Macaca fascicularis: one gene and its partners. The protein of the gene in region 1 interacts with the protein of each later gene in a biochemical or structural test. Links are inferred from orthologs where the notes say so. Each region holds a gene or a part of one and is shown in the gene's direction. Other genes may lie near its edges. The genes, in order: GSK3B, MUC1, EIF2B5, KLF5, SREBF1, YWHAZ and LRP6.

Region 1 (4,181 bases):
ACGGGCTCCTCTAACCCCCCATTTCCTTGGAGGCTTCAGGATATCCGGCCTGACGGCATTTCCCCTCACCTGCTTTCGGGGCCCGTTTTGCGCTGGGCAGTTGCGCCCAAGGAGCGCGCGCATCCAGCATGAGCTCATTTCTCATGGGCGTTTCCAGAGGCCCGGCCGGGCCGCGCACACCAAGCGCAGCGGGCCTCTCTATCAATGGCCCCCGAGGCTGGGCGGGGCGCGGCCGCCCAAAGAAGCTTTGTTCCCATTTTAGCGTCTGAGAGCTTGCTGCCGGCTGGGAAGGCCCCCTTTGTCCGTCAGGCCCTTTCGGGGAAGAGGCCGACACCCGGCACACGCGATCCAGGGCAGAGGAGAGCCTTAGGCGCGCAGAATTGGCTGCGCCCCGCCGAGAGCCTCCTGTGGATGGGGAGAACCCCTCGACCCCTCTGCTCGCTTGAGCGCTTAGAACCCAGCGCCGCCGACCGCAGCACTTTCCGATTTGCTGCGCCTAGGGCAGGCGGTCCCTATTTGCGGTTTCCACCGTAGTTGGAGGCCGCAGGCGAGCCGTCGGGTCGTCAGCCACGACCCTAGTCGGGCATCTCCCAGGTCCTGGGACGAAGGCCGAAGGCCAATCACACCGCAGCTAGGTCTTGCGATTGGACGGCAGTGAGAGCCGATTGGCCACCGCCGCGAGTTTCGAGCTCCACCCTCTCCCTTTTGCCCCAACTCCAGCGCCTAAGCTTCCGGCCAATGAGACGGCGCTTTATAGACGCCCTCCCTTCGCTTTCTTTTCCCCACCTTGGAGAGGGAGGGGGAGTCCTGACTGGCCAAACTGTCCTCGGAAGCCCCCTTCCCTTCACCAATCACCGAGGGAGGTACGCTCCCAGCGGAGTTTTCCAGCCAATTACAAAGCGGCGGCGGCGCCCAACCGTGCAGTTTCACCAGCGTCTCTGGGTTTCACCGTCTTCAACTCTTCAAGCTTTTTCGTGAGGGCCGGCGACTCTGATTGGCCACTGTTGCCATTGTCGAATGTCTCCTCCAGCCAGCCACCGAACCAGGCGAAATCACCCTTTCCGTTCGGCTGCCTTCGGCATTTTCCGCTCTTTGGGCGTGGCTTTCCAGCGTCACTTTCTAATTGGTTTCTCAGGCCGATCGGCTTTTTCCGGGAGGAGCCGCAAACAAACGACGTCCGTGATTGGCTCCGTTCGGGCTTCGGCTCCCAGCCGAAGCGGGCGAGAGTGGGGCTCGGGCGGCGATTCCCAGACGCCTGTTACGCGGGCGGCGGTGCGCTGGGCGGTGTAAGGCTGGGTGGGGGAGGAAGGAGGTGGAGGAAGAGTAGGAAGGGGGAGGGGGAGTGGGGAAGTGCAAGGCGGCTGCGCAGACAGCGCTTCTCACACAGAGCAGCCCCTGACCCGGGCGAATGCGGGCTTGTGCCGCCGCTGCCGCCGCCGCCCGGGCCGAGTGACAAAGGAAGGAAGGAAGGAAGGAAGCGAGGAGGAGCCGGCCCCGCAGCCGCTGACAGGGTTCTGGGCTGGGGGCAAAGCGCGGACACTTCCTGAGCGGGCACCGAACAGAGGCGAGGGGCGGGAGGGCGGCCGAGCTGTTGCCGCGGACGGGGGAGGGGGCCCCGAGGGACGGAAGCGGTTGCCGGGTTCCCATGTCCCCGGCGTATGGGGAGCAGTCGAGGAGCCGCTGCCTGGGGTCTGAAGGGAGCTGCCTCCGCCACCGCCGCCGCCATGGCCGCTGGATCCAGCCGCCGCCTGCAGCTGCTCCTGGCGCAATGAGGAGAGGAGCCGCCGCCACCGCCCGCCTCTGACTGACTCGCGACTCCGCCGCCCTCCAGTTCGCCGGGCCCCCGCCGTCAGCCCGCCGGATCCCACGGCTGCCGGAGCTGCAGCGTTTCCCGTCGCATCTCCGAGCCACCCCCTCCCTCCCTCTCCCTCCCTCCTACCCATCCCCCTTTCTCTTCAAGCGTGAGACTCGTGATCCTTCCGCCGCTTCCCTTCTTCATTGACTCGGAAAAAAAATCCCCGAGGAAAATATAATATTCGAAGTACTCATTTTCAATCAAGTATTTGCCCCTGTTTCACGTGATACATATTTTTTTAGGATTTGCCCCTTCTTTTCTCTCCTCCCAGGAAAGGGAGGGGAAGGAATTGTATTTTTTCCCCAGCCGTAAATCATCTATATGTTAAATATCCGTGCCGATCTGTCTTGAAGGAGAAATACATCGCTTGTTTTGTTTTTTATAGTATACAAAAGGAGTGAAAAACCAAGAGGACGAAGTCTTTTTCTTTTTCTTCTGTGGGAGAACTTAATGCTGCATTTATCATTAACCTAACACCCCAACATAAAGACAAAAGGAAGAAAAGGAGGAAGGAAGGAAAAGGTGATTCGCGAAGAGAGTGATCATGTCAGGGCGGCCCAGAACCACCTCCTTTGCGGAGAGCTGCAAGCCGGTGCAGCAGCCTTCAGCTTTTGGCAGCATGAAAGTTAGCAGTGAGTATTGATTTTATTTTACGCCCCTTTTCCACTTCGCCCTTAAAATAAGAAATCTCGGAATACCAGGATCTGAAAATATTAGACTTCCTAATATAACAAACAAGCAATGGAAAAGGGCAAAACCTATCTTCAGTCAAGGATGAAGCAGCTCCCTCTTTACTCCTCCCATACCCCCTCCCCCGGTCTCATTAACCTTGAATTGAGATAATATGATTTTTATTTGGATGATTCGATTTGAAACTGCTTTCTTATACTTTTCTTGCTGTTGGTAGTCAGTTTCATCAAGTGCTTGAGTGTTTCCACGTTAGTGATGACCGTGTTTACTTGCCCATCCTTTAGAATAAAGAGAAGGACAAGATTTGATTAATAAACCATTGTGCACATTTGCAGAATGTATGTCTTTTGGAATAAGAGGGTATTTTAGGTCTCAGGATTTATCATAGTTTGGTATACTTAATAGAGACATTAAACGTCCCACCCTCCCAACATTTTTTTCTTGTCTGTATGACTACACATAGTATTTGTTCTTAATCTGTGGATGAACTTGCTCAGTAACCATTCACATTTGGAGGCTGTCATTGATTTCTCTCTTTAGAAGGGACTAGTGGGAGCCAATAAATACCCAGCAGCAGTAGCATCTCTGTATGCATTTGTGTTCGATTGGATTAGTGGTTTGATGTGTTCTCTCTTAACCTTCCTGTTTTGACATTACCAACCTGCCACCGTATAATTTATATTTAATCAAAAGGTAACATGGAAGTATTAATAGGTCCAGGTTTTGATTGAGATTTGTTTTGTCATAGTGCCAAATAGTAAGTTAAATGTTGTCACTGGCTCATTACATTTAAGTTCAATTTTGGAGTACTGTTGCGCTCCTGTTAAATGTTCTGGGGGGTTCCTTAAAAAGGACGATTTAAAATACTCTTGCGTTAGTTTCCATCACATTTAGATAACTGTGGATTTAGTTAGAAGAATGTGGATTTAGTCCTTTCCATTTTGGCTTTTGCAGATGGCTGTGGTCCTGCAAATAATAGGGATATTTGGACTGTGTTCAGGGTTGTAGATAGACTACTCTTGTCCTGGGTTTGTGCTGAGAAGTATGCTTTTGAATGTTTAGTATATACTAAGTATCTAATGTTCCAGTGTATCTCTATTTATGGAGAAGTTCATGTGGTGTTTAATGACAGCTTGTTTAAACATACTTTCAGAATTTAACAAAAATATCTATGTTGTTTCCTTATTGTGGGAAAGAGGGTCATCATGAGGGCAAAGAAATTACTGTGTTGCTTAGAAGAACGAAGAGAACTAAAAAACTGAGATTTTAAGAACTGACACACACAAAAAACATGTATGTTATGTGAAATTGATTATATTCTTAGGCAACATAAAATGATCACTTTTAGTTGAACTCAAGATTTCATTTCGTGTTGGCTTTGGGAACTAGCCTGAAACAGGGTAGTCTAGGTAATAGCTGAATGGGAGATTATTTTTCAAAGTTAATTTTTTTTTTCCCCCGGTGGTTTGCAAGTAGAGAATGCCGGGGTAGGAAAAGAGGACAGCTGATTATGCATCTTTCAGGGAAGGGTCGTGCTTTCTAAGCGCTTCATGGAGTCATTTGAAAAATATTTTAAAATTCCGGGGTAATTTTCAGCTATGATGATACAAATCTTATAATAACTACTTAAGAGCCT
Region 2 (3,968 bases), on another chromosome or scaffold:
TGCTGGGATTACGGGCGTGAGCCACCGCGCCCGGCCCGATCTGCCTCTTAAGTACATAACGGCCCACACAGAACGTGTCCAACTCCTCTGCCCACGTTCCAATGTCCTCTCCCACATATCTCAGTGCCCTTTCCACATACCTCAGGACCCCACCCGCTTAGCTCCATTTCCTCCAGACGCCACCACCACGCGTCCAGGAGTGCCCCCTCCTAAAGCTCCCAGAAGTCCACCATGCTGTGCGTTCCTCCCTCCCTGGCCACGGTAGTGACCCTTCTCTCCCGGGCCCTACCTCCCTCTCGCGGGCTCTCGCTGCCCCACTTAGGCAGCGCTGCCCTTACTCCTCTCCGCCAGGTCAGAAAAGCTCCTCAGCCGGCGCGGTCCAGCCCCGCAAGGCTCCTGGTGACCACTAGAGGGCGGGAGGAGCTCCTGGCCAGTGGTGGACAGTGGCAAGAAAGGACCCTAGGGTTCATCGGAGCCCAGGTTTCCTCCCTTAAGTGGAAATTTCTTCCCCCACTCCCTTCTCAGGAGAATGCCAAGGAGGGAACCCAGGCTGCTGGAAAGTCCGGCTGGGGCGGGGACTGTGGGTTTCAGGGTAGAACTGCGTTTGGAACGGGACAGGGAGCGGTTAGAAGGGTGGGGCTATTCCGGGAAGTGGTGGGGGGAGGGAGCCCAAAACTAGCACCTAGTCCACTCATTATCCAGCCTTCTTATTTCTTGGCCCCGCTCTGCTTCAATGGACCCAAGGAGGGCAGGGAAGTGGAGTGGGAGACCTAGGGGTGGGCTTCCTGGCCTTGCTGTACAGAACCTCAACCTAGCCGTCTTTGTTCCCCATTCCCACCTTAGTTGTTGCCCTGGGGCTAAAACTAGAGCCCAGGGGCCCCAGGTTCCAGACTGCCCCTCCCCACTCCACCCTGGAGCCAGGGAGTGGTTGGTGAAAGGGGGAGGCCAGCTGGAGAACAAATGGGTAGTCAGGGGGTTGAGCGATTAGAGCCCTTGTAGCCTACACAGGAATGGTAGGGGAGGAGGAGGAACAGGTAGAAGGTAGGGAAGGGGGAGGGGGCGGGGTTTTGTCACCTGTCACCTGCTCCAGCTGTGCCTAGGGCGGGCGGGCAGGGGGGAGGGGGGCCAGGGGGACTGGTATAAAGCAGCAGGCGCCTGTGCCCGCTCCACCTCTCAAGCAGCGCCTGCCTGAGTCTGTTCTGCCCTCTCCCCACCCAGTCCACCACCACCATGACACCAGGCACCCAGTCTCCTTTCTTCCTGCTCCTGATCCTCACAGTGCTTACAGGTGAGGGGCACAAGGTGGGGAGTGGGCTGCCCTGCTTAGGTGGTCTTCGTGGTCTTTCTGTGGGTTTTGCTCCCTGGCAGATGCACCATGAAAGGCAAGAATTCTGTCTGTGCCAGAAGGAGGGAGAGGCTAAGGGCAGGCTGAGAAGAGATGCTCCCCCCAAAGAGTGGGTGCCAGGGGCAAGCAAATGTCCTGAAGAGAAGTCTAGGGGGAAGGGAGTAGGGAGAGGGAAGGCTTAAGAGGGGAGAAATGCAGGGGCCAGGAGCTGAGGCCTGTGGGCAGACAGAAGGAGGCTGCTGCAGGGAAGGAGGCAGCCAACCCAGGGGCTGCTGAGGCTGCCCACTCCCCAGTCCTCCTGGTATTATTTCTCTGGTGGCCAGAGCTTGTATTTTCTTCTTGCTCTTATTTTTCCTTCAACCCAACCCTATTAGTTTAACTTATCACAGCTGCCACAGCCCCTGAACCCACAACAGTTGTTACAGGTTCTGGTCATACAAACTCTACCCCAGGCGGAGAAAAGGAGACTTCGGCTACCCAAAGAAGTTCAATGCCCATCTCTACTAAGAATGCTGTGAGTATGAGCAGCAGACTCTCCAGCCACAGCCCCGTTTCAGGCTCCTCCACCACTCAGGGACAGGACGTCACCCTAGCCCTGGCCATGGAACCAGCCACAGGTTCGGCTACCACCTTGGGACACAATGTCACCTCGGCCCCGGACACCAGTGCAGCCCCGGGCTCCACCGGCCCCCCAGCCCGCGTAGTCACCTCGGCCCCGGACACCAGTGCAGCCCCGGGCTCCACCGGCCCCCCAGCCCGCGTAGTCACCTCGGCCCCGGACACCAGTGCAGCCCCGGGCTCCACCGGCCCCCCAGCCCGCGTAGTCACCTCGGCCCCGGACACCAGTGCAGCCCCGGGCTCCACCGGCCCCCCAGCCCGCGTAGTCACCTCGGCCCCGGACACCAGTGCAGCCCCGGGCTCCACCGGCCCCCCAGCCCGCGTTGTCACCTCGGCCCCGGACACCAGTGCAGCCCCGGGCTCCACCGGCCCCCCAGCCCGCGTTGTCACCTCGGCCCCGGACACCAGTGCAGCCCCGGGCTCCACCGGCCCCCCAGCCCGCGTTGTCACCTCGGCCCCGGACACCAGTGCAGCCCCGGGCTCCACCGGCCCCCCAGCCCGCGTTGTCACCTCGGCCCCGGACACCAGTGCAGCCCCGGGCTCCACCGGCCCCCCAGCCCGCGTTGTCACCTCGGCCCCGGACACCAGTGCAGCCCCGGGCTCCACCGGCCCCCCAGCCCGCGTTGTCACCTCGGCCCCGGACACCAGTGCAGCCCCGGGCTCCACCGGCCCCCCAGCCCGCGTAGTCACCTCGGCCCCGGACACCAGTGCAGCCCCGGGCTCCACCGGCCCCCCAGCCCGCGTAGTCACCTCGGCCCCGGACACCAGTGCAGCCCCGGGCTCCACCGGCCCCCCAGCCCGCGTTGTCACCTCGGCCCCGGGCACTAGTGCAGCCCCGGGATCCACCGCACCCCCGGGCTCCACCGCACCCCCAGCCCACGATGTCACCTCGGCCTCAGACTCTGCATCAGGCTCAGCTTCCACTCTGGTACACAGCACCACCTCTGCCAGGGCTACCACCACCCCAGCCAGCAAGAGCACTCCATTCTCAATTCCCAGCCACCACTCTGATACTCCTACCACCCTTGCCAGCCACAGCACCAAGACTGATGCCAGTAGCACTCACCATAGCACAGTACCTCCTTTCACCTCCTCCAATCACAGCACTTCTCCCCAGTTGTCTCTTGGGGTCTCTTTCTTTTTCTTGTCTTTTCACATTTCAAACCTTCAGTTTAATTCCTCTCTGGAAGATCCCAGCACCAACTACTACCAACAGCTGCAGAGAGACATTTCTGAATTGGTGAGCATCAGCCTTTCCTTTCCCATGTTCCCCTGAAGCAGCCATCAGAACTGTCCACACCCTTTGCATCAAGCCTGAGTCCTTTCCCTCTCACCCCAGTTTTTGCAGATTTATAAACAAGGGGATTTTCTGGGCCTCTCCAATATTATGTTCAGGTATAGTTCTGGGTGTGGACTCAGTGTGGTGGTTGGAGGGTGGGTGTTGGTCATGACCTTAAGGAGGGACTGGTGCACTCAAGGTTGGGGGAGAGTCCTGAGCCAGAGCTGGGACCTGTGGCTGAAGTGCCCATTTCCCTGTGACCAGGCCAGGATCTGTGGTGGTACAATCGACTCTGGTCTTCCGAGAAGGTACCACCAATGTCCACGATGTGGAGACACAGTTCAATCAACGTAAAACGGAAGCAGCCTCTCGATATAACCTGACGATCTCAGACATCAGCGGTGAGGCTACTTCCCTGGCTGCAGCCCAGCACCATGCTGGGGCCCCTCTCCTTCCAGTGTCTAGTTCCCCACTTTTTCCTTAGTGCTGGCAGTTAGAGGGGCACCTCCTCTGGGAGACTGCCCTAACCACTGCTTTTCCTTTTAGTGCGTGATGTGCCATTTCCTTTCTCTGCCCAAACCGGGGCTGGGGTGCCAGGCTGGGGCATTGCGCTCCTGGTGCTGGTCTGTGTTCTGGTTGTGCTGGCCATCGTCTATTTCATTGCCTTGGTGAGTGCAGTCCCTGGCCCTGATCAGTGCCCACCCCCCCGCCGACAGAAAGCACTCC
Region 3 (4,023 bases), about 67 Mb from region 1:
GACACGACGGGTCAAGTCGGAATCGCCACGTGGAAACAACGCTCAGCATCGCAAACTTCAAATCCCGACGTGCAACGCGGGGCGGGATGGGAAGTTTGCAGGAACTGCAGAAGCCTGTGGCGTGGAACCTGGACAGGTCCCGTGCAGAAAGGGCGCGATGCTTTACAGAAAAGCTTCTTGCCTCCCAAATGACGCCCAGGCTTCCTGCCTTGTTCCACCGCTTTCCCACGGCCCCGCCCCTCTGCAGGGTTGGTTTATTCCCCGCAGCCCCCGCATCTTTCCCCAAAGAGAGAAAGGTGCTGCTGCGCCTTTTCAAGCCTTGGACCTTTACGCCCGCACTTTCCTCTGCCCAGAAAGCTTACTGCTTAATGCCAGTACAACTTACTGGTGTGCCTGGATCCACCCCTGTCTCCACTCTGCTTAAGACAGAGGAGGATGATAGGCTGGAAGAATGAATAGATGACATTAAATCGTCATTGTTATCCCCACATAACTTGGCAGCAAGATTGTGGAACTCTGCAGTCTGACAGATCGGGTTCCAATACCAGTTCTTCCACTTACTAGATGGGTAAACTTCCTTCATCCTTCTGAGAGTTCAAGAAATGTTTGCTGAACGAATGAATAAGATGTTTTGCAGAGATATGTGACGAATTAAATGAGATAATGCTTGTATCGTGCCTAGCCCAAAATCAGCGCTCAATGGAATTACTAGTCTCCCTACTATATGCCACCTTCTCTATGCAGGCTCTGAGTTCCTCGCAGCGGGGGGACATCTGGCTCGGTTCCATCTCCCCAAGGCGCTGGGTTCCCAGAAGTTTCTAGAATGAATACGGAGGGCTACATATTTCACATGCGCGGGGCGGGGAAACTGCTGGACGATTACAGGTTCCGGATGGAGCTGGCCCCTTCGTGGCGACCACAAATCCTATCACGCTGCAAGAATCTCGACTTGTTCACAGACAAATGAAGGTCGACGATACTTGCAGACCGAGTCTGACGTCTATGGGACCCCACCCCTACCCTGCGCCTCCAGGGGCCGGGACAACCGCGACCCGTCCCCACTCCTCGCGCCTCCGGGATCAACCTAGAACTCTGTGGGCGCCCGCAGAAGACGCATGCGCACTGCTCCCTCCTCGTCTCCTCCTTCCCTTCGTTAATTAGTTCATCGCATTTCAAGTGCTGGATCCTTTTTGTCCCTTATTGCGTGCGGTGTCAGCTTCCTTGCGGAAGTGGTGGCCGTGAGAGAAGAAGATGGCGGCCCCTGTAGTGGCGCCGCCTGGTGTGGTGGTTAGTCGGGCCAACAAGCGCAGCAGCGCGGGGCCGGGAGGCAGCGGTGGCGGGGGAGCCAGAGGGGCGGAGGAGGAACCGCCGCCGCCCCTACAAGCAGTTCTGGTGGCCGATAGCTTCGATCGCCGCTTCTTCCCCATCTCCAAGGACCAGCCTCGGGTGAGCGCAGCGCACGCGAGCAGCCAGAGGGCAGGAAGTGTGGCAGGGCTGGAGCAAGTTCTCCTTTCGGCTAACTACTACGGCAAGCCTTTGAAGGACTTGTGTCCATACTGTTATCCTAAAACCGAGTTTACGTGGTTAGGAAGGAGGCAGAGGTACTGTCTTAAACCCTGATGACTGCTGACCAAGTTAGTGGCCGGCAGATTTGGGCATTGGTAATGCTGTACACCTCGGGTTTGAAAAGAATGAAGAGAGCTAAATGTAGAAACAGCGCTTGAGAAAGTCTTCACGCGGGGATTCAGTGCCCCTGGAAGAGGTTGCGCCGCTTTTAACCTTGCAGATGACGGATGCTTAGGTGAAAAGAAACGACCTTTTGCCTCTGAAAGGGCGGTAATATGCCTTAAAAAGAACAGGCTAGATCTCGGTCAGTGTACTTTTTTTTTCCCCCTCCAGGTTCTAATGATACCCGGTGCTATCTGTCGAAAGGACAAAATGGGTTTAGTGGTTGATTGCCATCAGCCCCCGAGTTGTCTAGACAATGGAGTATTGAACTCAGCTGGGTCGTTCAGCAGCCCTCAGTTCAGAGAGAGGGAACTGCATGGGATTTAAGAAAATCCTCTCTAATTCTTTCGAAAAAGCCTAATGGCTGTTCATTTTTGAAAAGTGACGGGAGATGGCTAACCTCTGACACTTAGAAAGGGATCAAGGAAGGAAATCTTATGGGGAAGAAGGCCTTAGCAATGCTTAAATTTATGGAAATATGATTGATTTCCAGTATTATCCTTTGCCAGCGGTGAACTGCCATTCTGTCACAGCTCTGTGTCTGATACAAGGCACACAGATTCTGTACTTACCATCCCCAAATTGCAACGTTTCAGACTCAGGCTTAGAGCATGACGTGAACATCAAAGGCAGGAACCTGTGTACCTTTGAATTGGAAAGATACAGCAAAATTACACCATTTGGAAATATTAATAGAGGAGTGAAAATTGTTGCAGTGGGGTATCCAAAGGGATTCGAGACCTCAATTTTTTTTCATCTTCTATCCTTCAGGTCCTCTTGCCCCTGGCCAATGTGGCATTAATTGACTATACTCTGGAATTCCTGACTGCCACAGGTGTACAGGAAACATTTGTCTTTTGTTGCTGGAAAGCTGCTCAAATCAAAGAACATTTACTGTAAGGCCCTGCAACTTTTCTTCTTTTCTTTCCATGTTTCGCCATCTTTTTCCAGTTTCTTCAGGATGAATATAACTAAGGGGAAATGTGAGAAGGGAAAAATGTGTCTACTTAGACATCATTGTAAGTTCTAAGGGTATTTTTTACACTTATCAGGAGGTGAGCAGCTGAAACTTTGTATCTGTCTGTCTTGGGTTTTCTATGACAAAGATTAAAGAATAAACTTGGGTTTTTTCTGAATCTCATTATAAAGTTTGGTCCCAGTGGACTTTGCTTTTATGTAATGGCTTCAGTATGGAAGTTACAACGATAACATCTTTGTTTTCCCACTGAGTTTCTAAATCTTGTTTGTTCTCACCTTCGAGGATATAAATGAGTTCCTTGTCATTTTTGTATTCCCACTGCCTAACTCAGTCCCAAGCATGTAGTGAGCACTTACATGTTTTTTGAAATCTTGAAAACTAGGGAATCTGGCCGGGCGCGGTGGCTCAAACCTGTAATCCCAGCACTTTGGGAGGCCGAGGCGGGTGGATCACGAGGTCAGGAGATCGAGACTATCCTGGCTAACACGGTGAAACCCCGTCTCTACTAAAAATACAAAAAACTAGCCGGGCGTGGTGGCGGGCGCCTGTAGTCTCAGCTACTTGGGAGGCTGAGGCGGGAGAATGGCGTGAACCCGGGAGGCGGAGCTTGCAGTGAGCCGAGATCACGCCACTGCACTCCAGCCTGGGAGACACAGCGAGACTCCGTCTCAAAAAAAAAAAAAAAGAAAACTAGGGAATCGCATCACTTATGGAAGTCCAGGAAATAAAGACTAGGACATTAGCATGGTCTCCATCAGACAGTTGCTAAATGTTATATGGATTGCAGAAGGGGAAAGCTGACATGAAGTGTGTTCCCAGGGTACTTTGTGTACCCTAGGCTTCAGCAGGATTTTGAGTTCAAATTGATGTTTAGGGACAAGGGGTCAAGGTATGGAGGGGAAATAACCATGTTTCCTAACCCATAAAACAAGACTGGTGACACAGGATGCTGAAAGCATTCATTGTAGTTCATGATTCTCTTTGAAGTTGAAGACGCTGGCAAGAACCCAAAAAAGCCATTGAGGACTGTGAATGCTGAATGGGGGTGAAAAATGGGGAAGGCTCAAATGATATTTATGCTTGATATATTCATTCCCCTCACCCTCCCTTCCTTTAGGAAGTCCAAGTGGTGCCGCCCTACATCTCTCAATGTGGTTCGAATAATTACATCAGAGCTCTATCGATCACTGGGAGATGTCCTCCGTGATGTTGATGCCAAGGCCTTGGTGCGCTCTGACTTCCTTCTGGTGTATGGGGATGTCATCTCAAACATCAATATCACCAGAGCCCTTGAGGAACACAGGTCAGGATGGGAA
Region 4 (4,190 bases), on another chromosome or scaffold:
CATTGAAAATGAGATCCATACCTTTGATAGATATGCTCTTTGAAGTGAACGTTTTTTTCAAATACTTTTTTTTTTAAAGCTGTTTTACTCTGAAGCGATGAGTAGGCTGTCGTATATGTAAAACTGTCTAATGGTATACTGTGCTGTCAACATATGTACATTTGTAGTAATATCACAAGCATTTTTATTGCAGTTTATTGTTCCGTCCTCCCAATAAGCCAGATAAAATCATGTACAAGAACATTAAGGATTAAGGGAAGTGGTTTCCTTAGGTGATTCCTGGCAAAAATTCACCCTCCCATTATAACAACATAGTAAATGGACGGTAATATATTTGGCTATTACCTTCCAACAAATTTGGATTCCCAGTTTTCAGTGTCTATGTGTCTATGTTTGTGGCTTTCTGGTTGTCTCTTCGTAGGAAAAGGTGCCACAATGTGAGGTAAATGTGCTAGGTTTCTGTTTTGTAAATATTAAAGTCCATTTTTTTAACATACAGTGCTAGCAAAAATAAGTCAAAGATGTAATGTCTATTTAAGTACACATTTGAGCCAGTCGTGCTTAAATTAGATTCCATGCTTCGGCTAGAATCAACATGGCTTAAATATTAGAAACTTCAAAATTCATGTGGCCCAAGCCCTCCTCCCCACACACGGATAGGAGGTACAAATGTGTGGGAAAACGTCTAGCAATTAAAATCCTGAAGGAGTGGGAAAAACTCAGGCTTTTATGCGAGGATTTGAAAATAACGCTTCCCATCAAATCTTTTATTCAGGCATTCTGAATTTGCCTTGTTAAATGGATACAGTCACTGCTAAAGATACATGAGACAAGAGCTGTTTTAAATTTGTTTATCACACCGCCCCTAGTTTTCTGCTAAAGAGAAGTATATTTCGGATATTTAAAAGTACACACTCATTAGACAAATCTCTAAAAGCCTCAGCGCCCCCACCTAGCTGCCTTCTGGGTTTCAGCTTTTGAGTTTCAGGTCCTTGCACAACACCTAAGACGTGCAATACTCTTTTTCTTCCTAATCCTGGCAGAGAACAGTGCGAAGAGCTCTCCCTCCGCGTCTCCACCCTAATTCCCCCTCTTCCCAGATTCCACCCGCTCCGCTACTTCCCTCCGCCCCCAGCTCCGCCAGCCCAATCTGTCAGAGAAGTTGTGTACAAACTGCGCGGCCGCCCTGCGCGCGAAGCTCGTGGCCCGAGAGGGGTGCGGTCGGGCCGGCGGAGGCGGGGCCCTGGCTGCCTCTCTCCCTGCTCATAGGCTGGCCGCTCAGGCCCGGCCGGCCTTGAGGCCTCGGGATTCGCGGCGGCGCTGCCAATCAGGCGAGCGGGCCCCGCCCCCCCGGAGTTGGGTGAAATAGAGGCGGGCGTCAAGTGTCAGTAGTCGTGGGGCAGGTACGCGCGCTCGCAGTTCTCTCGCTGAGGTCGGCGGTGGCGGGAGCGGGCTCTGGAGAGCCTGAGAGCGCAGTGGGGCGGGGCGGGAGAAAGTGGCCGCCCGTAGGACGTTGGCGTTTACGTGTGGAAGAGCGGAAGAGTTTTGCTTTTCGTGCGCGCCTTCGAAAACTGCCTGCCGCTGTCTGAGGGGTCCACCCGAAACCTCTCCCCTCCTCCGACCGCAGCCCCGCACCGAGCTCGCCGCCCCAAGCCAGGGTGGGCGAGGTGGGAAGTGCGCCCGACCCGCGCCCGGAGCCGCGCTCCCGAGTGCCCATGGCTACGCGGGTGCTGAGCATGAGCGCCCGCCTGGGACCCGTGCCCCAGCCGCCGGCGCCGCAGGACGAGCCCGTGTTCGCGCAGCTCAAGCCCGTGCTGGGCGCCGCAAATCCGGCCCGCGACGCGGCGCTCTTCCCTGGCGAGGAGCTGAAGCACGCGCACCACCGCTCGCAGGCGCAGCCCGCGCCCGCGCAGGCCCCGCAGCCGGCCCAGCCGCCCGCTGCCGGCCCGCGGCTGCCTCCCGAGGAGCTAGTCCAGGTAGGAAGAGCCGCTCCCCTCCCACCACTGCACTCCCGGGCCCGGGCGTGTCCCGTCGCTGCGACGCGCGGGCGACAGGGGCCGCTCCAGGCTGGGGCGTGCGTCGGGGCGCACCGGAGCCGGTGCTGGGTGGGCAGCCCCGCCCTGCACGCCTGGCCGGGGACCCGCGTTTCGCTGAGAGTAAATGAGGGGTCGGGAGGGGGGAAGGATAGAGGGGAATCTGCCCCGGCGGCTTGGCCTGGGAGAGATCAGAGGGAGGGAACTGGGTGCTCACACGCACCTTAGTTGTTTTTCTTACACTTGAGGGACGAAACCTTGTACCTTACGCTCAGTTTTACTTAAATTACGTCTTCACCTTTACCGCTCCCCAGTGCCAAGGCATTGGAGCTCCCCCATCCCCATCGTCTCGGGTTAAGTAGAAACGCAAATTGGGGTGCTGGGGAGAGGTTGCTCAAGATTTCATAGCCGGTGGCTCAACCTGCTTTAGAAGCGATCGCGGGCCGCGTTTGGAAAATGAGAGTTAGGAAAGCTAAGGTTGTGTTGGAGCGCTTATTTTTCCTTAAAAAAAAAAAAAAGACCGGGGGTGTTGTTTTCTTCGTGTGCGCGTAAATTTCCTCCCGGAGCCGCGTTGAAAGCTGGCAGTTGGCTTTTACACTTGCCCAGCAGCCGAATTAGAGCAACCGCCTGTTTCTTTCGCCCACGCAGGGAGTCATATAGCCCAGAAAAAAACTTCCCGGGACTTTTAGCCTGTCCCAAGGAAAAAAAAATTGGAAACATACCCACATGCAAACAGCTGGAAGAGCTAAAATCAGAAACCACTAACCGCCGCGGGAGCGCAGTGCACGAAAGGGTTTAGTTCAGTTTATTTCAAGACACTTCATTTAGTAGCCCTTTGGCGTATCGCATATTTGCTACCCAGCGCCTACTCCGTGGGGTCTGTCAGGGTCCTGCTGTGAGAGGGCAGTGGCATTTGTCAGAGATGTGACTCACATGACGTGAGCGTTAATTTTTATTTTTAAATCGTGTCTATCCGGGAAACCCCGTCCGGATCCACACCAAGGTCCGAGATGAAACGCATTTGAAATGAAGTAGTAGCAGAAAATGACTGTCTTATTTACCGATTAAGGTGCCAAGCTAATACTATGCGCCATTCCATCTAGTTGGTTATCTTATCTTTCGAAATTTCCTTTTTCAGTGTTAAAAAATGTAGGCTTAAGTTATACTAGGAGAGAAGATAGCTGGAAAAAGCTTGAGGCGACTTGTTACAAGCTGATTTAAAAGCCTAGAAAAGAGATCATCGTTTGAAAAGTATTTGGTTATTTCAGTTTGTCAATTTTCTGCTCTGGAGGCACAAGAAGATAAGGGATGACTGAGCTTTTTACAGAGTCGGGGGGAATGTAGCATTGGCCCACTGAGGAGGACATGATAAATGTTTTGCTGATGACTGTGCTAGGGATACAGCAGCCTCCCCACCCACGGGCTCCTTAGCAGCACTCTAGCGAGGGAGTGATTTTCCCCTAGGTAATTAAAGATCTGTTTTAGATAGGGGTATGAATAGGAACATTTCATTATCATATTAACCAATTACAGGATCTGCTGATTAAAATCAACCTTTAGGTCAAATATTGAATGTGAAATTGTTTTGTTTCAGTGGATACAAGGTTTTGCTTAGAACATTGTATTTCTCATTGAACTGTAAACAAGAAAAGACACAGAAGTAGCCAAAGAATATTTTTTATATTACTTTTGAAGTGTCTAGCCAAATAAACCTTTGCAATATTTTAAAGGTTTGCATAGTTTTTTCTGTAAAAAAACAAAACAAAACAAAAAACACGCTTTTTAATGTTTATGACTTAAACAGAATTGAGGTAGTTTGGCAACATTTCAATAGTGTACTCTAATTGCAAATTTAACTGTGTAATGGGGCAGGGAATCCTGCTTGTACAGGGGTGATACCTTGTTATTGCATCAGAAAGGAATGTTTTCAGTTTGCTTTCTTTTTTTTTCTTGATTTGCGTCTTTCACTTTTGGGGGTGATTGGGGGAGCAGTTTTACCAGTTACACAGTTTCATAAGGTTTTGGTCAACCAATTATTACACAATCGACAAAATAAGCCTGATATGTTTATAAGCAACACTGAGGAGTTTGCCCGAGTACCTTATACAGGGATTGGGGTAATTTTTAGTAGGCGCCGATTGTTTGTCCTTCCCAAGA
Region 5 (3,624 bases), on another chromosome or scaffold:
TTGTGCCCTCCTCCACGCAAGGCTCCTCTAGCAGGATTCTGGGAATAGCTCTGTCCTCAACCCTGCGGAGAGGGCCAGAGCTAGGCTACCATGCGTGCCATGCGCCCTTCGTTCCTCTCTGGGTTTCCTCTCCCCACCAGCCTATGGGAGGAGACAGTGGCAGTTTGCAGAGCCAGGGGTCAGGCTGTACTCTAGTGGGCAGGTGGGGAGGGCCAGCACCCTCCTAGGACCCCTGCCATCTGTCCCGACAGCCAACCCTCTCCTGCCACAGGGAATTCTCGGATGCCCTCGGGTACCTGCAGCTGCTGAACAGCTGTTCTGATGCCGCGGGGGCTCCTGCCTGCAGCTTCTCCATCAGTTCCAGCATGGCCACCACCACCGGTGAGCCCCCGGCCCCTGCCCTGGCTCCCTTCTCAGTCCCCGTGCAGCGTGGCTGAGGGTTCAGGGGACCCTCCCTCTTTTGCAGGCATAGACCCAGTGGCCAAGTGGTGGGCCTCTCTGACAGCTGTGGTGATCCACTGGCTGCGGCGGGACGAGGAGGCGGCTGAGCGGCTGTGCCCACTGGTGGAGCACCTGCCCCGGGTGCTGCAGGAGTCTGAGTGAGTGCACGGCAGGTTCCTCCTGCCTGGCCCTGGGCCCAGCCTCCCTCATCCCCTGGGCACTGTACCTCCACTCAGCCTTTGTGCAGGAGGGGTCACCACCTTTTATCCCCAGGGAACTCGAGCCAGGGCAGTGGGAGGCACTCAGCCAGGGCTTGTGGACTGGTCTGATTGGCACTCTTCTGCCCTGGTCCCAACAGGAGACCCCTGCCCAGGGCGGCTCTGCACTCCTTCAAGGCTGCCCGGGCCCTGCTGGGCTGTGCCAAGGCAGAGTCTGGTCCAGCCAGCCTGACCATCTGTGAGAAGGCCAGTGGGTACCTGCAGGACAGCCTGGCTACCACACCAGCCAGCAGCTCCATTGATAAGGTGAGGGGTGGGGTCAGGGGCCTGGCAGGGCTGGGGGACTCAGCCTTCCATTCCCTGGTCCTTCTCCCCAGGCCCCAGGGACTGCAGAAGACCATGGGGTTAGCCCAAGCAGCACAGGATGAGGGGTCCAGCAGATAGGAGATCCAGCAGTCCTTGCTTTTTGGCTAAGGCTTCTGTCTAGAGGAGAGGGGTTGCCCTTATCTGGCCTCAGTTTCCCCATTCTGGGAGGATGGGGGTGGATGGTGTGGTAGGATCCCTTTGGAGGCCCTGCATCAGGAGGGCTGGACAGCTGCTCCTGGGCCGGTGGCGGGCGTGGGGGCCAAGAGAGGCGGGCGGCCCCGCGGTGCATTGCTGTTGCATTGCACGTGTGTGAGGCGGGTGCAGTGCCTCGGCAGTGCAGCCCGGAGCCGGCCCCTGGCACCGCGGGCCCCCATCCTGCCCCTCCCAGAGTTGGAGCCCTGGTGACCCTGCCCTGCCCGCCACCCCCAGGCCGTGCAGCTGTTCCTGTGTGACCTGCTCCTTGTGGTACGCACCAGCCTGTGGCGGCAGCAGCAGCCCCCGGCCCCGGCCCCAGCAGCCCAGGGCACCAGCAGCGGGCCTCAGGCTTCTGCCCTTGAGCTGCGTGGCTTCCAACGGGACCTGAGCAGCTTGAGGCGGCTGGCACAGAGCTTCCGGCCTGCCATGCGGAGGGTGAGTGCCCAATGGCTCCCTGTCCTCAAGATGGGGAGTCAGGCAGTGGTGGAGAGGGACAGCCCTGAGCCTCCACTCTCCTGGCCCCCAGGTGTTTCTACATGAGGCCACGGCCCGGCTGATGGCGGGGGCCAGCCCCACACGGACACACCAACTCCTCGACCGCAGTCTCAGGCGGCGGGCAGGCCCCGGTGGCAAAGGAGGTGAGGGGCAGCTGCTGACCAGGGATGTGCTGTCTGCTCAGCAGGGAAGGGCGCACATGGGGTGTGATACCAAGGGAGGCTGCGTGTGTGTCAGACGGGACAGACAGGCCTGGCACAGTGGCTCACGCCTAGCACTTTGGGAGGCCCAGTCAGGAGGATAGCTTGAGCCCAGGAGTTGGAGGCCGCAGTGAGCCTGGGTGACAGGGAGAGTCCCTATCTCAAGGAAAAAAACAAAAAAGCATCTTCTTGGTGGTTACCTGATGACAATTCCTTTCACAAGAAATCAGTGGGGCAACTGTCATTTGTGGGATATATGACTACACGTGCGTGACTCAGTCTGTGGACTTTATGTGTGGGCTGAGACTAGGGTGGGGAGAGGGGAACGTGTATACTAGGTATGGGCGGCTGGTGCCTTTGCTTGTGTGTGGGCGGGGCTCCCGCGGGGGCGTGGCCAGCCTGAGCCCCATCCCTGACACATCCTTGTGTGCGCAGGCGCGGTGGCGGAGCTGGAGCCGCGGCCCACGAGGCGGGAGCACGCGGAGGCCTTGCTGCTAGCCTCCTGCTACCTGCCCCCTGGCTTCCTGTCGGCGCCCGGGCAGCGCGTGGGCATGCTGGCTGAGGCGGCGCGCACGCTCGAGAAGCTTGGCGATCGCCGGCTGCTGCACGACTGTCAGCAGATGCTCATGCGCCTGGGCGGTGGGACCACTGTCACTTCCAGCTAGAACCCGTATCCCCGGCCTCAGCACCCCTGTCTCTAGCCACTTCTGTCCCGTGCAGCTTCTGTCCTGTGTCGAAGCCCTGAAGGCCGAAGGCAGTGCGAGAGACCCTGGCCTCCACGGTTCACCCGCGGCTGCGCTGTCCCTTCGGGGTGGAAGGCCAGAGGGGCGCAAACCCGACCCTAATACCGGCGGCCATGATGGTGCTGACCTCTGGTGGCCGATCGGGGCACTGCAGGAGCCGAGCTGTTCGGGGCGGGGGGGCCCTCCTTGCTCTGCAGGCACCTTAGTGGCTTTTTTCCTCCTGTTTAGAGGGAAGAGATGGGTACATTTCCCTGCGCTGACGGAAGCCAACTTGGCTTTCCCGGACTGCAAGCGGGGCTCTAGCCCCAGAGGCCTCTCTCTCCCTTGTGGGAAGACGTGTACATAGTGTAGGTCAGCGTGCTCAGCCTCCTGACCTGAGGCTCCCGTGCTACTTTGCCTTTTGCAAACTTTATTTTCATAGATTGAGAAGTTTTGTACAGAGAATTAAAAATGAAATTATTTATAATCTGGGTTTTGTGTCTTCAGCTGATTGATGTGCTGACCAGTGAGCGTGCTTGGGCCCTCCCCCAGCACCTTGGAAAAGGCTTCCCTCCCCTCTCCGGCCACGAGGGACACAACTTAGCTCTTTCCGATGTTAGTAGGGGGAGTGGGGAGGGCTGGCTGTATGGCCTCCAGCTGACCTGTCCCCCTGTTCCCAGGGCACGTTTGGGCTGTCAACCCTTAGGGCCTCGATGGGGTCAGTTGTCCCTTCTCTCCTCCCAGCTGTGTCCCCATCAGGTCCCTGGGTGGCATGGGAGGAGGATGGACTGTCCTCCAGGACCTGTTTGTTGTATGACAGGAGCTACAGCTTGGGTCTCCCTGCAAGTCTGGCACGTCTCACCTGCCCCCATCCTAGCCCCTGGTCCTTTCACAGCAAAGAAGCCTCCTCCCTCCCGACCCGCCGCCACACTGGAGAGGGGGCACAGGCGCGGAGAGGTTTCCTGTTCTGTGAAGGGCGGGCTCCCT
Region 6 (4,014 bases), on another chromosome or scaffold:
AGTGTTTTTGTTGCCAGTATTTTATTGCCGTGGCTATCAAAGCACATAGAGGTTAACCAACTTGAGTGAGGTAAGAGTTGCGCATTGAAGAAAATAAAACAGGTCAGGGTATTAGTGAAAGTCTCCAGCAACGTTCCCAGGGTTCATAGGTTCTATTTATTCTGCTCTGTATGCCATAGGTTATTCCTTATTTCTTGAAAGATCTTTTCCTCAGGACTTTCATAACATCCCCTGTTCCTTTCTTGCAGCTTCATTGTATCTTTATTGTGCAGACACGTTGACTTGAGTACGTAAAACCTAACAGTGCCTATTGTTGCGCTAAAAAATGCCTTTCTATTAAAGCATGAGGCAAAAACCTAACTTAGCTCTTTCTTTCCTAAACTCACAATTTATAGAGAAACCCCTTAACCTCCTCTGAAACAAAAGGCATACACGCTACATAGACATATATTTGAGACATTAAAGAAACATGAATTTCCATTTTAAAAAACGTTTAACTTAGTATCCTCTGTCAAATTTCTGGTGCCTACCACAAAACTGGAAAAAACTGTTAAAAAAAATAGCTTTTGAAATATTAGTCATTTTAAGTGAGTCACGCCCTAAAAAGAATTTACTTGAGAGTCAAAGCTAGTTGACCCTAACATCTCAGAAATAAAACTCCAATTTGTTCATCTATTTAACCTACCATGAATTTGTGATTTGGCAGCTTGTGAAAAACAACAACAAAAAACCCACTGAAATGGAACTGGTCACTGGAAACTCTCTTTCTGGTCTGTACTATCTAAATGCCAGCTGTCATGTCAAGCAAAAAGTAATTTGTAGAGCAGCTTTGTGGTCCACTGTATTATGCAAGAAAGACAATGTACTGGAAGAGCGAGGACTCAGTCATTTCGTGTCTACTACTGAGAAACTAAATTCTGTAGAGAACATGGGGCTAAATGAAGCTCAATAAAGATACGTTGGAAGAATCAATGAGGAGTTTACACAAGGGTAAAATAAAGAGTTCCAAGCGCTCTCATTGCTAACCGTACAGTCTCTATGACTGTTGCAAGTGGTTTTGCAGGTCATCCAGGCACTAACCTTTTCTTAGCCCGAACACATTTAAAGAGTGAAGGGGCAGCGCACTGTGAATGTTTCTCTCTGAACTTCCTTAAGTCAACTGGGCGGAGGCCCTACCCGTTCAGGCACCTGCAATTTCCGCCCTTCTCCTTCCCCTTCTTCCGGGCTACTGTCCTCGCTCATCACCCGGCCCGTGGTCCACTCCCACCGCCAGCTGGAACCCTGGGGACTACGACGTCCCTCAAACCTTGCTTCTAGGAGACAAAAAGGTAATGATAGTCATGTGTTAAGTCACTGCAGTATGAGGTCTTCACGTGAAAGCTTTATTTGGGTAGGAAAACCTAGCCTACGAGAAACGGGTCCGTGCGGTCACGCCTGACTGCCTGTCTCCGGGTCAAGGCTGCCAGGACCAGCTCCAGCCCTCCGCCAGAGAAGGTTGTCCTTTCCCCTCGGAACTCTGGCTTCCCTAAAGCGGACGCGCCTCCTTCCAGGCCTCACCTCCCGCCGGCTCCGCCCGGCCCGGCCCGGCCCATCTCGTCCCCACCTCGGCGCCCACCCATTGTCCCCTCGGGCAGTCACCGAGCGCAGATCCCGAGCTCTCGATTGGAACGCCTCCCCATCACTCAGCCACACTCGGGCTGGACGCCTCACTCCCGTTTCCGAGCCATAAAAGGTCTAGGGCCGCTTCCCCCAAGCCAGCAGGTAAAGCCGCGGCGGCGGGAGGGAGACCGGGAGGGGCCGCGCGCCCCTCCGGGCAAGGGGAGCGGCGGGGGGGCGGGGGGAGCGCACCACACACAACCCTCCCTTGCCGTGCGACCGCGCCCGGCCCCCACCCCGCAAGTCCTGATCACAATGCCGGAGCCGCCGAGCCACCCTCGTCATCCTGCCCGGGGACGGCCCCGGGGCAGTTACTACCGCGAAGCACGGAGGGCGGGGCGGGGCGGGCCGGGCCTCGGGGAGAGGTGGGGGGATGTGAAAGGTCCCGGATGTTGCTGAACGGGAGCCCCTTCCAGAGGGAGTGACTGGGGCAAGCGCAGACGGCCTGAGCGAAAGCTAAGGTGGGGGTAGGGAGAGAGCGCCTTCCCACAGGCTGAGAGGAAGAGTGGACCGGCGGAGGCCACAGGGGAGAGGGAGAGAGAGGGCGTCGGGGACCCAAGGGGAAGGCGAGGAGTGGGGGGGTTTGCGGGAAAAGAAAAAAAAAGCTTCCTGCCTAGGTGCACTCGGGACAAGCGTAGAGGAGCTGGGAGCCGAGCGGGGTGGGAGAAGTGGCGGCTGCGGGCGAGGACGCACGCGCCTCCGCTCGCCCTCCAGCGCGGGCGGGCAAGACGCGCGCCGGGGAGCGGCGGTTGCGCGGGGCCCAGATCGCTGTGGGCACCAATCAACGGTTGCCATAGCAGCGTTTGACGTCATCGTGCGTGTGGTGCCCCTGCTGCCGGGGCTGGTGATTGGAGGAAACCCCGTGTCTGCGGAGCGGCTGTAGCCTGTGAGCAGCGAGATCCAGGGACAGAGTCTCAGCCTCGCCGCTGCTGCTGCCGCCGCCGCCCAGAGACTGCTGAGCCCCTGTCTGTCCGCCGCCACCACCCACTCCGGACACAGGTGAGGAACCTGGCCGCCGCCGCGCCCCGCTCCTTCCTGTCCCAGGCCAGCCTTCCGAACGCGTGGGAGCCGTCCTCGCTCCGTCCTCTCATCCCCACTAGCCCCGCGGTGGCGGCGCCGGGCTGAGGCGGAGTCTCCTCAGCGGACACGGGCGGCGGCTCCTCTTCCGCTGAGTTCGGGCGGGCGGCTAGCGGCCGCCTCCGACTCCTTGCTTCCGCATCGACGCCCCGGCGCCGATCGGTGCTCGCTCCCCCGTCCTGCTCCCGGGGGTGGGGAGGGCGCCCACACGCGAGATCCCTGGGGATCCCCCTGTCGCCGGCTCCCAAAGGTGGACGAGGCATGGCCGGGGCGCCGCCGGCCGCGATCCGTCCCCACCCTTGTCTCTGCGGGCTCCCACCCCCTCCCTCGTCGCCCTTCTCGCTTCCGCCCGAGATAATGACTCGGCGGCGGCGGCGGGCATCGCAGTGGCGCAGGTGAGGCCGCCCCCTCTTCTCTCCCTCGGCCGCCCCCTCCTTCCCCTCCCCCGCCCCCCTCCCCCTCGCGCAGCCTCTGCGCTGGGCGCTGCGGCGGCGGGACCCGGCCCTCCCCCACCCCGGGAGGCGGCGGCGCGGCGGGGAGGGGCCGGGGGCCTCGGGGATCCAGGAGCGAGGGAAAGGCCTGGCCGAGAGCGGGCCGGAGCCCAGGCCTGGCACGGCGGCGCCCGCCAGGTAGACCGGGGCGAGGCCGCGCGCCGGCGCGAGGGGGAGCACACTGCGGGGTGAGGTTTTGGGGTGGGGCTCTCCTGCGACCTAGAGCTGAATTTCGTGGGCTCCGCGGTGGGAGGAAGGACTTGAAATTTCCTGGTGGGGGTGGGGGATGGGTCTGACTTTTTTTGCTCCTTTCGAACGGGCGGAGGAGGTGCGGACGGGGGCTGCGAGTCCAGGTGGGGGTAGAGAGCGGGGTGGGGAGCCCGCCGTCGGCTTCCGTGCGTGATGGACTAGAACTGGAGGTTCCCTGCGCTCGGTTTGGGGACGCATATCCTGCTTTGGGGGCGGGTGACCCTGAGCATAGCCGCTGGTGGCCCGCTCTGCTGGGTGTGGCTCTCGTCCCCTCCCCCACCTGCAGCTGTCGGTCCCTTAGAGACGCTGTACACGGGCATCGGCGCTGATCGGTGGCGGGGAAGGCGCTGGGTGGGAGAGCGGGGTGTGTCCGTGGCGGGGCTGGTAGTGGTTCCGCTTCTGCGGGCGGCTGTGGCGTCTCTGCCCCGGGGTCGGGCGGCTTCGCTCCCCCCCACCCGCCGCGCCACGGCTTGGGCGGGGGCGCGGGCTGCTCCTCCCTCTGGCTTCGGTCGGAGGAGGGGGGAATTAACACTCTGCAGTA
Region 7 (3,341 bases), on another chromosome or scaffold:
TCTTTAAATCAAATTGAATGAGGCAGTCAGCAGAATAAACATGATTGCATAAAAAACTGTTCTTGCTTAACTATTTTCCAGATAAGCCCAATTTCTGTTCCTCTGAGTCAAAACTTTCATCATTTGTTGAGATTTTGGTCTAAACTGGGACGTGAAAGAATTTTGTTAATTCAGTTTGTTTTATTTTTTTCATGAAAATAGAAGTATTTGGACTTTTAAATGTTAACCTTAGAAATTTCACCAAGGATTGACACCTGATTGGACAAAAAGTTAAGACCAAAAACAAAACAAAACAAAACAAAACAGTAACTGTGACACCATGTCAGTATTGATAGTAAAAGCCTTTGAGAACTCGCTCAGTGTGTCACGTAACTTTTGGTCTCTGGCAGCCTTTTTATTTTTATTTTTATTTATTTATTTATTTATTTATTTTGAGACAGGGTCTTGCTCTGTTGCCCAGGCTGGAATGCAGGGGCACAATCACAGCTTACTACAATCTCCGCCTCCCGGGCTCGAGCAGTCCTTCTGCCTCAGCCACCCAAGTAGCTGGGACTATAGGTGTGTGTCACCATGCCTGGCTCACTTTTTTTAATTTTTTGTAGAGACAGAGTCTTGCTATGATGCCCAGGCTGGTTTCTTTCTTTCTTTCTTTGTTAAAGACTAATCAAATGCAGTAGTAAGAAAGGGAAACAGAGTAGAACAAGGAGTTTGATCTGTACCTGTGAACAATCATGGCAGCCATTTCTTTTGAAGTCAGTCCAAGTGATAGCAAATGGTTTGTATCCTGGGTTCCTGGGATATATTATCTTGTGGTGCTGTATATCACAAGGTGTTTTATGAATGGTTGTATCACTTTTTAACTTGCTTTTGCCCCTTCTCTTGTAGTCAATCCTATCCTCTTGATCCTTTGATGAGAAAGCTTATGAAAAAATCTTTGGGATAAGTTTAAGATCAGCTTTACCATATTTAGAGTAAACGGGTATAAGAAGTTACAAATAGAAGTAGAAATGACAGAAAAGCCAGAACTTAGGTCAAATCTTATTTTCACTAGTATGTTTCTCTCTTTGCAATGCCTTTTTCTTTAGTTAGCAATGCTACAAACCTAACAACTGTACATCCCTTATAAAGATAAATAAGTGTAAGAAATAAGCTAGGCCTCTGAAATATACATTAGAAAATTCACTGACTCTTTATGGGCATTTAAATTTTATCATTTTGATGTTTAAAGCTGCTCTTATGACAGGTACTTATCTATACACAGGGAATGAAAACTGTTTCCCCCAGCCACAGCAATTTCCCTTTGCTAAGGTAACAGTAATGGAATAGTTATGCCCCTGAGGCTGTCTACCAAAATCCAGCCTGGATTGTACAGAAATTGTACAGAATTGTACAGAAGAAAGAAATGAAGTCTTCAGATGTCATTAAATTAATTATTCATCAGGTTAATTTTGGAGTAAAGAATGTTGAGGAAATACTGACATGTTTGAGCAGTATAAAATATGTAAAAACCCATTCTTCCCATAGGCTATGAAACTGCAAAACAAATTTGAATAGTCATTTTTTGTTCTGTGATACAGTTTAACTTGAAGAGTACACTCAGAGGCTAGATTGAATTCACCTCTGCATTTCCATCCTGTTCATTTTCACTTGCCACTTTCTTATTTGCAAATAAAGTACATGCTGTCTTCCTTAGCGAATCTGCCATTGAAAATTGCCTCTTGGTCTGTGTAAATTTAAATGGCAGTAGCTTATTGTTTTCATAGTGTAGTTTACATCTAATACCTCTATTCTGAGAGGGAAAATCATTTTTTTGTAAAACTAACTGCTTCTCTTTATTTTCTTCCTATGCCAGCTACAGGCCATATAGCTACCGGCACTTTGCACCCCCCACCACACCCTGCAGCACAGATGTTTGTGACAGTGACTATGCTCCTAGTCGGAGAATGACCTCAGTGGCAACAGCCAAGGGCTATACCAGTGACTTGAACTATGATTCAGAACCTGTGCCCCCACCTCCCACACCCCGAAGCCAATACTTGTCGGCAGAGGAGAACTATGAAAGCTGCCCACCTTCTCCATACACAGAGAGGAGCTATTCTCATCACCTCTACCCACCGCCACCCTCTCCCTGTACAGACTCCTCCTGAGGAGGGGCCCTCCTCCTCTGACTGCCTCCAACGTAAAAATGTAAATATAAATTTGGTTGAGATCTGGAGGGGGGGAGGGAGCTATTAGAGAAGGATGAGGCAGACCATGTACAGTTAAAATTATAAAATGGGGTAGGGAATACTGGAGATATTTGTACAGAAGAAAAGGATATTTATATATTTTCTTAAAACAGCAGATTTGCTGCTTGTGCTATAAAAGTTTGTATAAAAAAATAAATTTGTACTAAAAGTTTTATTTTTGCAAACTAAATACACAAAGCATGCCTTAAACCCAGTGAAGCAACTGAGTACAAAGGAAACAGGAATTATAAAGGCATCACTGACCAGGAATATCTGGGCTTTATTGATACCAAAAACAAAAAAGAGGAAGAAGAAAAATTAAGTCCATCTCAGAGCAGCAAACCATAGATACTTGGATGTAGCCAGCTAGCCTTCAGTTAACTAACATTTGAGGGCCAACAAGTAAGAAATCATGAAAGGAAAAAAAAGGAATTAATACTAACCTTGGACGAAAGGCTTTGTTTTCTCTAGGAATCCAACAGTGTTAGTGAGGAAGATAGATACTTCTAAAAACCCATTCTGGGTGTTGCTGTTGTAGGAGAGATCAGCCAGAGGTAAGATGCCATGAAGCTGTGTGTGTGTGCAAGTCTCTGTCCCTACCTTTAGAATCCATACCTCTGTCAAAATGAATTTTTTCTCTATGTTTACCTTGCTGCCTCCCCCAGCAACTTGGTAGGTCATTTGGCTAAGATACCAGGATTTTTTTAAGCTGAGGCATTGACTAAATGGAATTTTCTAAATTCAAGTTGATTTTAATATTTCTTCTAGCTCCATTCCCCAGTAGGCTTAGCTCTTCAATTTGACAGCTGTTTTTGCATAATGATCAAAAGTTAGACATATTATTTCTCTTCCAAGATTGTTTTAATGCTCATTAAAATGTCTTTTTACAACACATATAGACAATGTTTAAGAATTAAAAACTTAACCATTATGTTTTTGTTGTAAATTAATCATATATCCTTGCACTACTTTCAGCATATATCACAGTATGAAATCATTTATATATATATATATATATATTTTTTTTTTTTTTCTGAGTAAAACATTTAAATATGTTCTGGTTAGAGACAATCTATTTAAAAAGAATTTTTTCTTATTAGGATTTGCGCTATA

Evidence for each region.
Region 2: the proteins of GSK3B (region 1) and MUC1 form a complex in vitro, tested with the Homo sapiens proteins (2 studies listed by BioGRID). The link is inferred for Macaca fascicularis from reciprocal best matches to the Homo sapiens genes GSK3B and MUC1.
Region 3: of the proteins of GSK3B (region 1) and EIF2B5, one has a biochemical effect on the other in vitro, tested with the Homo sapiens proteins (2 studies listed by BioGRID and IntAct). The link is inferred for Macaca fascicularis from reciprocal best matches to the Homo sapiens genes GSK3B and EIF2B5.
Region 4: of the proteins of GSK3B (region 1) and KLF5, one has a biochemical effect on the other in vitro, tested with the Homo sapiens proteins (2 studies listed by BioGRID). The link is inferred for Macaca fascicularis from reciprocal best matches to the Homo sapiens genes GSK3B and KLF5.
Region 5: the proteins of GSK3B (region 1) and SREBF1 form a complex in vitro, tested with the Homo sapiens proteins (2 studies listed by BioGRID, with this or other methods). The link is inferred for Macaca fascicularis from reciprocal best matches to the Homo sapiens genes GSK3B and SREBF1.
Region 6: the proteins of GSK3B (region 1) and YWHAZ form a complex in vitro, tested with the Homo sapiens proteins (2 studies listed by BioGRID). The link is inferred for Macaca fascicularis from reciprocal best matches to the Homo sapiens genes GSK3B and YWHAZ.
Region 7: of the proteins of GSK3B (region 1) and LRP6, one has a biochemical effect on the other in vitro, tested with the Homo sapiens proteins (2 studies listed by BioGRID, with this or other methods). The link is inferred for Macaca fascicularis from reciprocal best matches to the Homo sapiens genes GSK3B and LRP6.

Annotation. Positions count from the first base shown.
Region 1 is NC_088376.1:163,085,340-163,089,520, forward strand, and holds the start of GSK3B (glycogen synthase kinase-3 beta), read left to right. Parts: upstream 1-1,381; 5' UTR 1,382-2,399; coding exon 2,400-2,487; intron 2,488-4,181. UniProt on the Homo sapiens protein: Constitutively active protein kinase that acts as a negative regulator in the hormonal control of glucose homeostasis, Wnt signaling and regulation of transcription factors and microtubules, by phosphorylating and inactivating glycogen synthase (GYS1 or GYS2), EIF2B, CTNNB1/beta-catenin, APC, AXIN1, DPYSL2/CRMP2, JUN, NFATC1/NFATC, MAPT/TAU and MACF1.
Region 2 is NC_088375.1:105,950,651-105,954,618, forward strand, and holds the start of MUC1 (mucin-1), read left to right. Parts: upstream 1-1,168; 5' UTR 1,169-1,230; coding exon 1,231-1,288; intron 1,289-1,761; coding exon 1,762-3,203; intron 3,204-3,302; coding exon 3,303-3,358; intron 3,359-3,506; coding exon 3,507-3,643; intron 3,644-3,788; coding exon 3,789-3,910; intron 3,911-3,968. UniProt on the Homo sapiens protein: The alpha subunit has cell adhesive properties. Can act both as an adhesion and an anti-adhesion protein. May provide a protective layer on epithelial cells against bacterial and enzyme attack.
Region 3 is NC_088376.1:96,052,244-96,056,266, forward strand, and holds the start of EIF2B5 (translation initiation factor eIF2B subunit epsilon), read left to right. Parts: upstream 1-1,223; 5' UTR 1,224-1,251; coding exon 1,252-1,446; intron 1,447-2,499; coding exon 2,500-2,624; intron 2,625-3,824; coding exon 3,825-4,010; intron 4,011-4,023. UniProt on the Homo sapiens protein: Acts as a component of the translation initiation factor 2B (eIF2B) complex, which catalyzes the exchange of GDP for GTP on eukaryotic initiation factor 2 (eIF2) gamma subunit.
Region 4 is NC_088391.1:64,025,675-64,029,864, forward strand, and holds the start of KLF5 (Krueppel-like factor 5), read left to right. Parts: upstream 1-1,390; 5' UTR 1,391-1,715; coding exon 1,716-1,976; intron 1,977-4,190. UniProt on the Homo sapiens protein: Transcription factor that binds to GC box promoter elements. Activates the transcription of these genes.
Region 5 is NC_088390.1:17,916,450-17,920,073, reverse strand, and holds the end of SREBF1 (sterol regulatory element-binding protein 1), read left to right. Parts: intron 1-271; coding exon 272-381; intron 382-466; coding exon 467-599; intron 600-799; coding exon 800-965; intron 966-1,454; coding exon 1,455-1,655; intron 1,656-1,746; coding exon 1,747-1,858; intron 1,859-2,350; coding exon 2,351-2,580; 3' UTR 2,581-3,124; downstream 3,125-3,624.
Region 6 is NC_088382.1:110,578,404-110,582,417, reverse strand, and holds the start of YWHAZ (14-3-3 protein zeta/delta), read left to right. Parts: upstream 1-1,214; 5' UTR 1,215-1,328; intron 1,329-1,550; 5' UTR 1,551-1,761; intron 1,762-2,537; exon of another isoform or gene 2,538-4,014.
Region 7 is NC_088385.1:14,883,575-14,886,915, reverse strand, and holds the end of LRP6 (low-density lipoprotein receptor-related protein 6), read left to right. Parts: intron 1-1,852; coding exon 1,853-2,147; 3' UTR 2,148-2,187; exon of another isoform or gene 2,188-2,397; intron 2,398-2,699; 3' UTR 2,700-2,841; downstream 2,842-3,341. UniProt on the Homo sapiens protein: Component of the Wnt-Fzd-LRP5-LRP6 complex that triggers beta-catenin signaling through inducing aggregation of receptor-ligand complexes into ribosome-sized signalosomes.